Linked DNA regions of Saccharomyces cerevisiae S288C. Changing the gene in region 1 together with any one later gene gives a genetic interaction. Each region holds a gene or a part of one and is shown on either strand. Other genes may lie near its edges.

Region 1 (2,923 bases):
ACAGCTTCAGTATTGTCTGAGCTTCTCGTTTAACATTCCTTCTGCAATAGGCGCAATCACACTTAAACGTATACGAGTTGTACATTAATATACGATGTAAGCATTGAATTGTTACCATAGCAACTCATGTCACTATTAATTACTCTCGTTCCAACATAATATTATTATGGAGTAATATCTATTCCCTTTCGTGGATTCCAAGATTCTCGAGGTATATTTCCAGTATATTTTGTATACCTGATATTATAGCCTTTAGCAACAACGAAATCAACATTTATCTCAAATTTCACCTGTTTCTCATTTTTAAGCGCCTAGCCCATCTAATCATCTTAACTATTCATCAGGGAAAATTAATATACATTGTGCTCTTAATGTTTCGAAAAATAATCAAAATCAATAGAAATAGCGTTTTGCTACTAACAAAGCCCTTTGATCCAAAGTTGGCTTCTGAGAACTTAACATTTCAGTAGAACAAGCCTCAAGCTTAAATGAAGAATGGCAAAGTAAATGAGACCTCTCTCTCCATATTTTGCTCAGAGCCTGTTAAGGAAAACAACACCGCACATTAGTGTGAAAAACTTTCCCCGCAAGCTGTTGGAAGATGAATCATTTATTATCTTTTGACTGTTAGCTACATTACTAGCTGTTATCAATCTCTCAGACGATTATATGAATATTGAGATAGTTGTTGGGATTAACTTATTGTTAGAGGCTATAGCATCAGATATACAAAATAAAATAAAAAGTTCTCCTCCAAGATATAGTGTAATCGATATTTCGATGTAATGCCATCATTATTTCTTCTATTTTATGTATTCCTATTGTCCTCTAACATTGTATCTGATAATATTCTAGTAATAGGATTACCATCACTAAATGATAGTTAATTCTCATTCCAAAACCGACTCCTGTCAATATTGAGGACCCATTTATTCCAACGGTCCAAATCCCCAATATTCCCTGCTCGGCAAGAAGTTAGAAAACATATCTTTCGTGCTCTTGCAGGCTTGCTGTATTATCATAACCGAAGGATGACCAACTTTGATCACCCCAGGTGGCAAAAACATAATACATGGTGGTGGTGTCGTTGTAAAAATCATCTTCTTTGGGTGTGTATAGGATCCCATCCAACACACGTGTTAAAATGACATCAGGTATCAATGCTAATCCGTCGTCACTGACAATAAGCTGAGTTGACATCACCTGATGATGTGAAATAGTAGCAAGAGAACTAGGGTAAGGTTCATGCTGGTTGTTTTCCTATGATGACCAACCTTTGGAATTGGGTAATTCTAGGTGTAGCCTGCTAGCCATCAAACGAGACCTTTCAAAATCTTCAGTCATTACATTTTCTTCTGTAAATAGGGAAAAAAGCCTTTAGCTAGGATTGTTCGGCAATAGAAAGCCCTCCAGTTTAAACTTGACATAGAAAATCTTTAAGGTTAAATCAAACATAAGTTATTATCCGATATAGTGTAACGGCTATCACATCACGCTTTCACCGTGGAGACCGGGGTTCGACTCCCCGTATCGGAGTTATTTTTTGTTTCTATACCATTATTTTTCTTGAATGTTGCATTATGATAGTATAGTTTTGCTATACAAACTTCAATTCTCAAAACACAGTACGTCTAGCTCACTACTACTCTCTCTAATTCAAAATCGTTCACTTCTATCGAAAGCTGTGATAATTTGGAAATATTGTCGTGGGCCACGAATGATTTTTCAATTACATTGCTAAATACGAAGACATTAATACCTTTATTCATATAAGCACTTTCATTATCATTTTTTACTAAAGATAAAACTAACTGCAGGCACCAAGAAGTTCGAAGCCAAGAGTAAAGATGTCAGGAACCGGATTATCGCTATTCGTGACGGGTCTTATACTGAATTGTTTGAATTCCATTTGCCAGATATACTTTACTATATTATATGGTGATCTTGAAGCAGACTATATCAACTCAATCGAACTGTGTAAGAGGGTGAATAGGTTGAGTGTACCAGAGGCAATTCTACAAGCTTTCATTTCTGCATTGTTTCTTTTTAACGGGTACTGGTTCGTATTTCTCTTGAATGTCCCTGTTCTAGCATATAACGCAAGTAAAGTCTACAAGAAAACACATCTACTGGACGCCACGGATATTTTCAGAAAATTGGGTAGATGCAAAATTGAATGCTTTTTAAAATTGGGATTTTACCTTCTCATATTCTTTTTCTACTTCTACAGAATGGTCACAGCGTTACTTGAAAATGATGCAAATTTGATAAGCTAATAGCGACAACAGGAAAAAAAAAGAGAGATTTGTGCATATCTATGAAGTATGTCTACCACATAAAAATGACCTTATAACACAACTTCCTTAGTATGGAAGTAATACATATATACATATATACATATATACATACATATATATATATATATATATATATATACATCTTTTGAACCAATTCCCTATAGACTTGGTTGTAATTCGTTAGAAAGATTTTCATTAATTTTATTTATCTTTTTCAGAAGTCCGTTATATGGATCCATCAAGTCTACGAAATGTGCAATATCCAGAATATTTGAGTCATCCCGTATTGAATCGTCCTCGCTATCTTGGCTCATAATTTTGCGATCTCCCTCGTATTTGCCTAGCAAAGTAGAAGTCAAATCATTTAGCCTCTTATTTAGCTTCACTTTGTCGTTCAGTTTGGCTTGTTCATTTTGTAAGTCATGCCAGTCTTTACCGGCTTTCAACTCTTGAATTTCATTTCGTACCGATATTATCTGCTGGTTCAAATCTTCTTTTCGAGCAAGTACCTGCTTCAGTTGGTAGCAGAGCTCATTATTCGACACGTTGATATCTAATATGTCTTTCAAGTCTCTGGTCATTTGGTCTGATATCGTTTGAAAGAGTCGCAGATCTAATTTGTACAA
Region 2 (2,976 bases), on another chromosome or scaffold:
CAGGGATTTAAAATCTTGATCAACATTTTTCAAATTGAGCGACAAGTCATTAACAGAATCGGTCAAGCTTAAGATCTTGTTATAGTTCTTTAGCAAATTCTTTTGGAAGGCCTCATTGGTTTTAGTCAAATCGTTCTGTAACTCCAATTGATAATCTTTAATCTGTGGAATATGAGAATCGCGAAACAATGGTAAGACTTCATCCATTTTCTATCGTATTGGTTTTTTTTAGGTTTTCTACCACAAGATTTGTTGTACGAATGTGTTATTTATTATTCACCGCCATGTTTCATTTTTCTTCAGCATAATGATGAACTGTAACAGAAAATAGGAAAAAAAAATTGTCATCTGAGAAATTGCTTTGGATGACCAGATCCAAAACAGACATAAGCATTCGTATAATTGGTACATAGGTATATATCAAATAAAAATATGCATTATTCTAAAAAAAAAAAAAAAAAAAAAAAAAAAAAAATCAAAAATGTCTCTCTAAAGGGTGATTATAAAAAACTTGGTTTGGGCAAGTTTTTAGCCTCCCTTGGACCATTAGTGGCGAAAGTGGAGCCTGCATAAGAGTGACTGAGTTTTTTGGCACTGCCATTACAACCCATTGGTATTATCCCTTGAGAGCCATGCGGGGATTGTTTCTGGTTCAGAAGCAGATTCTTTAGGTTCTGACTCAGTAAACGAGTATCATCTTTGTTGTTCTGTCGTGGCGTTTCTTTATTATTCTGTCTGTTTTTTTTACCTAAAGTAGTTGTAGAGGAAGGGGAAGAAGGTGGAGAGTGCTTCTTTTGATTAAATGATGGTTTCTTGTTGGAAGAATGGCCGAAGTTAGGTTTCTGACCGTTAGGAAGAGTTTGAGGAGGTGGTATATCTGTGATATAGTTGTTATTATTGGCGTTCTTAGCAGCATTTCCCCTCGCACGATTATTTCTAGTTTTTTGTTTGATTAGATTATTTGTCTTGTTCCTGCCAGCCGATGGCAACAGCCTGGAGCTGTTGAAATACATGGTATCCGTCGACATGCCTTGTAATATTTGTGTGAGTATATTTGTGTGCTAAGTGTAATTACGTTACGCTTTGCTGAGTACTTCGTCTTCAATACAGAGTATGTTATTGTCCTTGTTATTTGAAGACTTTTACCTTTTCTATCCGTATTTCTCTATCCGATACAACAACATCATTTTACACGAACAGCCGGATGATAAAACTGTAGTACGTATGGTATTTGTGATATCCTATATAGCCATATAATTACTAGCAGCTATGCAACAGTCAAAGGATCGCAATCCATTTTGCTTACGACTACTTCGTGGCCCTCATCTTGCAACAAGCCCTTCATAACGTCTTGAAGGAATCCACGCTCAGTATTTGAGTGGTTGCAAACAATAACGGTCTTGCCCATTTCTTTCCACTTCAGTACTTCATGATGTGACATTTCTCCCGTATAGTAAAGGTCTACGTCCTCTTTTAGTTGCTTAAACACGCCAGAACCGCTCCCGGCACAGACAGCGACTTTTTTGATTTTGAGTTGATTCCATGCGGATGGAGCAGCAAGAGATGCTACTTGTACATAGGGAACCCGTAAAACACGCTTGACATTTTTGACAATTTGCTCCAAAGAGATGTCTTTATTGAATTCTACGAATCTACCGTAGCCAATCAAGTCGTCAGTTTCGCCACTTACAGTTTCCAAGGCATAAGACTTTGCGACGTTCTCTCCGTTGTTCAAACCCCTAACCAACCAGTCATTTACACCGCCACGAGCGGCATCTACGGCAGTGTGAGGGCAGTATACGGATATTCCGTACTGGATTAGCTTTATAGCTGTCTCGTGTTGTGGGTTTGTATGTGGGCTTAATCTGTTCCAGCTTGGGAAAATAAAAGGATGGTAAGCAACAATTACGTTGCAGTTAGCATCCACAGCTTCTTGAGCAACTGACTTCGTGAGGTCTACAGTCAAAAGGACCTTTGTTTTAGCGTTTGCATCGGCAGTGGTGACTTGTGCAGTGGAACAATCGATGAGAAGACCCGTATTGTCCCAGCTCTTGTCTGCGTACTTTTGAGGGTAGAACTTGGTAATGCTACGCACAAGTTTGTCCAATTGTGCTCTAGTAATAGCTCTGCTCATTGCGTTTCGGTGGACTCTTGTTCTGTTTCCTTCCGACTGTGTATTGGAATAAGTTTTTCGGTGTTATATATATACATATATATGACAGGTGAAAGAATTGAAAAGGTGAAAATAAATGACGAATTTGCAAAATCACATTTCCTAACAACTCAGTGGAGAGAAACAAAGCGCCAACGACACTATAAGATGCCCGTTACTGAACAGGGACTCCGCGAGAGGATAGAATCAGCCATACCGCAAGTTTACCATATCATTGTGACGGATCTTTCGTACGGTTGTGGTCAGTCGTTTGATATTGTGGTGGTCAGCGACTTCTTTCAAGGTAAAAGCAAACTAATGAGGAGTCGTGCAGTGAACAAGGCTGTGAAAGAAGAGCTGCAGGAGATTCATGCCTTTAGCTGCAAGTGCTACACTGAGGAGGAATGGTCTAAGATTGTGGTATGAAAAGGATGATATTGTTCTATTATTAAGTTTCGAAAGGAGACGGCATTGAATCTTTTTGGCATAGACGATTTTGCTTTCTTACGTTATTTACATCGGAGAGTATGTATTTGTGTAGTTATGTACTTAGATATGTAACTTAATTTAATGATATGGTGGGGGGCTATCCTCCATGCCCCATTTCCAGTTATTTGAAGGTTCTTGCGAGTTCAAACCTATGAAGTAAAACGGTTTCTTTTTAGATGTATCTTTCTTGGAGTCCAAATTTAGCGATATTTTTTCTGGTATAACGTATTTATCCCTTATCGATACTGTTGTTTTCAAATATGGGGGAGATTGTTCTTCAAGCTCGGGTATCGGTGTTTGGACCGGTGTGGACGTAACTGTTTCAATAGCAGTAC
Region 3 (2,910 bases), on another chromosome or scaffold:
TTAACTAACTTCAAGGATTTCGACACTATGTTTTACAACAATGTTTTGGCTCTACCTATTCTATTGCTGTTTTCTTTCTGTGTGGAAGATTGGTCTTCAGTTAATTTGACCAATAACTTTTCTAACGATTCGCTAACTGCTATGATCATCAGTGGTGTTGCATCCGTCGGTATTTCTTACTGTTCCGGTTGGTGTGTTCGTGTTACTTCGTCTACTACATATTCGATGGTAGGGGCTTTGAACAAGCTGCCAATTGCCTTGTCTGGTTTGATTTTCTTTGATGCTCCAAGAAACTTCTTATCTATTCTCTCCATTTTTATTGGTTTCCTATCAGGTATTATTTATGCTGTTGCCAAACAAAAGAAGCAACAAGCCCAACCTTTACGTAAATGAGAACTTACGGGGGGTGCAATTTATTTTTTTTTTTTGGTTTATTTTATTTTATAGAGGCATCTAATGCAAGTAGATTTATATACAATTATACTTAAAATTGATATACCTTAGAACAGGTCGGACACAACGTGTGGTAACTCCAATATATCACTAATGACAATAGCGCCTTCTGGTGTTTGCCCCAAAATTTCATTTACTTCATTCTCAACTAAATGAATACATGTTTTCATGCCCAATTTGATACCTGTCTCGATGTTTTTCCCACTGTCATCTATAAAATAAGCATTCTCGTATCTTGCCAACCCGCTTTCCTTCATGGCTTTTTCAAATGCTTTAACATGTGGTTTGCAGACCAGCGTATCTGTCCTAGAGTAGTCACAATATGTCAATCCATCAAATAAATCCGCTATACCCAACAATCTCAGGCAACGTATTGCGTGGTTTTTATAAGCGTTGGTGAAAAGCCACAATTTATCAATCTTTCCCGATTGTCTCAATCTCAACAGCATATTCCTTAATGGTATATCAGGTTTCAAGATATCTTGTAGTGGTAAGGAATCATCCACAAGCCGGTTATATTCCAGTGCGTTCACTTTGTGGAACATTACAAGTCCCCTTATGGCAAGTCCATACTCTTTGTAGTAAGAGTTATTCAAAACGTGAGCATCTTCAGGTGATAGTTTCAAGTGTGTTTGAAAGAACCTCAGTATAGATTGTTGCATAAGATCGTGAATTCTCGTGGATGATTTATAGAGACAGTTGTCGATATCAAAAAAGAAAACTTTTAAGTTCGGGTTTTGAGGTGTAGCAGAAATATCTTGATCGATCGGAAATGTCACTTTCGAACCTGGATGAGTCAATGATTCAAGATGTGCTTTATTCTTGGCAATTTGTTCGTTCACCTCATTCTGATAGGTTGCCAAATCGGATGCAGTATATTCAACAGTCATGAAGCCTAGTAATGATTCGGTCCAAGAGCTTACTCATGTATTCCGAAATTAATTCAGGTGAAATGGGGGAGTAATATGATATCAAGAAGGCGATCACTTATTGAAGTCCACATAGATACACACAGATAAACATATATATATTATGTATATATATATATATATATATATATATATATATATGTATATATCAACGCCCATACCATTATCATTATCAATAAGTTTGCGAGGCGGGTACCCTCCCTCGTGCTATTATATTACTGTTGCCTTAATTGAGTAATTTGATCGATGACTAATTGCAAGAGATTGTGATTGTTGTACGAAGTTATAAAATCATCCACAACACTCGTTGAGTTTTCCAGTGGTGAAGGTAAGCGGGATGAGATCTGAGTCTTAAACTCTTGCAATTGAGTAATCAATTTATTTCTCAAATCTGTCAGTGTCTCTTGAGGGCATTTATACAATTCTAAGTTTTGTAGGATTTCAATCGTAGGCTGCACCGTTTGATAAATTTGCAACGTGGTATCATTGGTTAAACCTTTTGAATAGAATACCGCTGTATCAATATATTGTTTCAATGCATCATCATCAAGTGGAGATACAGTGCCATCATTGAGGTTCGTATCATTATCATGGAAGATATCTAATTTATGAAGAGTTTCAGGCTCCTTAAGCTTGGCTCTCAAAGTAGAGAGTGTATCCAAATGTGTGTTTATTTCTTTCACGGTTCTCCGAATGAGATGGTCTCTAAAGGTGGACGAATTCACAAAATCGACAACAATCGCGTCCTTATATTGCTGATTGGAGTGATATTGATGATCTTTGCTGTTGGCACTTGATATCAGTAACGCTTGAACGTTATCGTTAAATAGTGTCTCGAATAGGGATTCATTGAATATAGAAAGTAAATCATCGTCCCACTTCGAGGAAAACTCCGTGTTTAGTAAATTGTATAGTTTTACCCACTGTAGTAAAGTTAAGTTTAATGTCTTCATAGAGTCCACCAAGAACTTCTGTAGTCGACAACATTTGTCCTTGACAAGCGCTTCAAATTTGGAAGGAACTGGTATCAAAGATAATTCGTGGAAATTCAACAGTAGCTCGTCGAATATCCGCGACGGAGTAGTGGAAGTAACTATACGATTACAGAAGTTGTTGATGGAGATGGTCCAATTTGAAATTACTAAAATGTTTTGCGATGGTATGCTGACTTTTTCTTCGTCACGAGGTGGTGATATATGGGTAGTGGTTTGGTATGGTAGTGGAGTTAACTTATTCAACTGAAATTTTTCATCATTGAAACACAGGGATTTAAAATCTTGATCAACATTTTTCAAATTGAGCGACAAGTCATTAACAGAATCGGTCAAGCTTAAGATCTTGTTATAGTTCTTTAGCAAATTCTTTTGGAAGGCCTCATTGGTTTTAGTCAAATCGTTCTGTAACTCCAATTGATAATCTTTAATCTGTGGAATATGAGAATCGCGAAACAATGGTAAGACTTCATCCATTTTCTATCGTATTGGTTTTTTTTAGGTTTTCTACCACAAGATTTGTTGTACGAATGTGT

Evidence for each region. Genes that interact genetically often act in the same process or in processes that back each other up.
Region 2: mutations in ERV15 (region 1) and EDC1 together harm fitness more than expected from each alone (negative genetic interaction), as found in Saccharomyces cerevisiae (2 studies listed by BioGRID).
Region 3: mutations in ERV15 (region 1) and SDT1 together harm fitness less than expected from each alone (positive genetic interaction), as found in Saccharomyces cerevisiae (2 studies listed by BioGRID).

The regions. Positions count from the first base shown.
Region 1 is NC_001134.8:643,703-646,625, forward strand, and holds ERV15 (Erv15p), read left to right. Parts: upstream 1-1,847; coding exon 1,848-2,276; downstream 2,277-2,923. Other genes in the region: AME1 (Ame1p), read right to left, coding at 2,456-2,923.
Region 2 is NC_001139.9:80,159-83,134, forward strand, and holds EDC1 (Edc1p), read right to left. Parts: upstream 1,029-2,976; coding exon 501-1,028; downstream 1-500. Other genes in the region: Golgi transport complex subunit COG1, read right to left, coding at 1-207; NIF3 (uncharacterized protein), read right to left, coding at 1,268-2,134; BOL2 (Bol2p), read left to right, coding at 2,216-2,578; ERMES complex subunit MDM34, read right to left, coding at 2,720-2,976. UniProt on the Saccharomyces cerevisiae protein: mRNA-binding protein which stimulates mRNA decapping by DCP1 and DCP2. Involved in the regulation of expression of multiple genes involved in glycolysis and gluconeogenesis.
Region 3 is NC_001139.9:77,515-80,424, forward strand, and holds SDT1 (nucleotidase), read right to left. Parts: upstream 1,344-2,910; coding exon 501-1,343; downstream 1-500. Other genes in the region: VRG4 (GDP-mannose transporter), read left to right, coding at 1-393; Golgi transport complex subunit COG1, read right to left, coding at 1,598-2,851. UniProt on the Saccharomyces cerevisiae protein: Could be an enzyme that inactivates 6-azauracil by modifying it.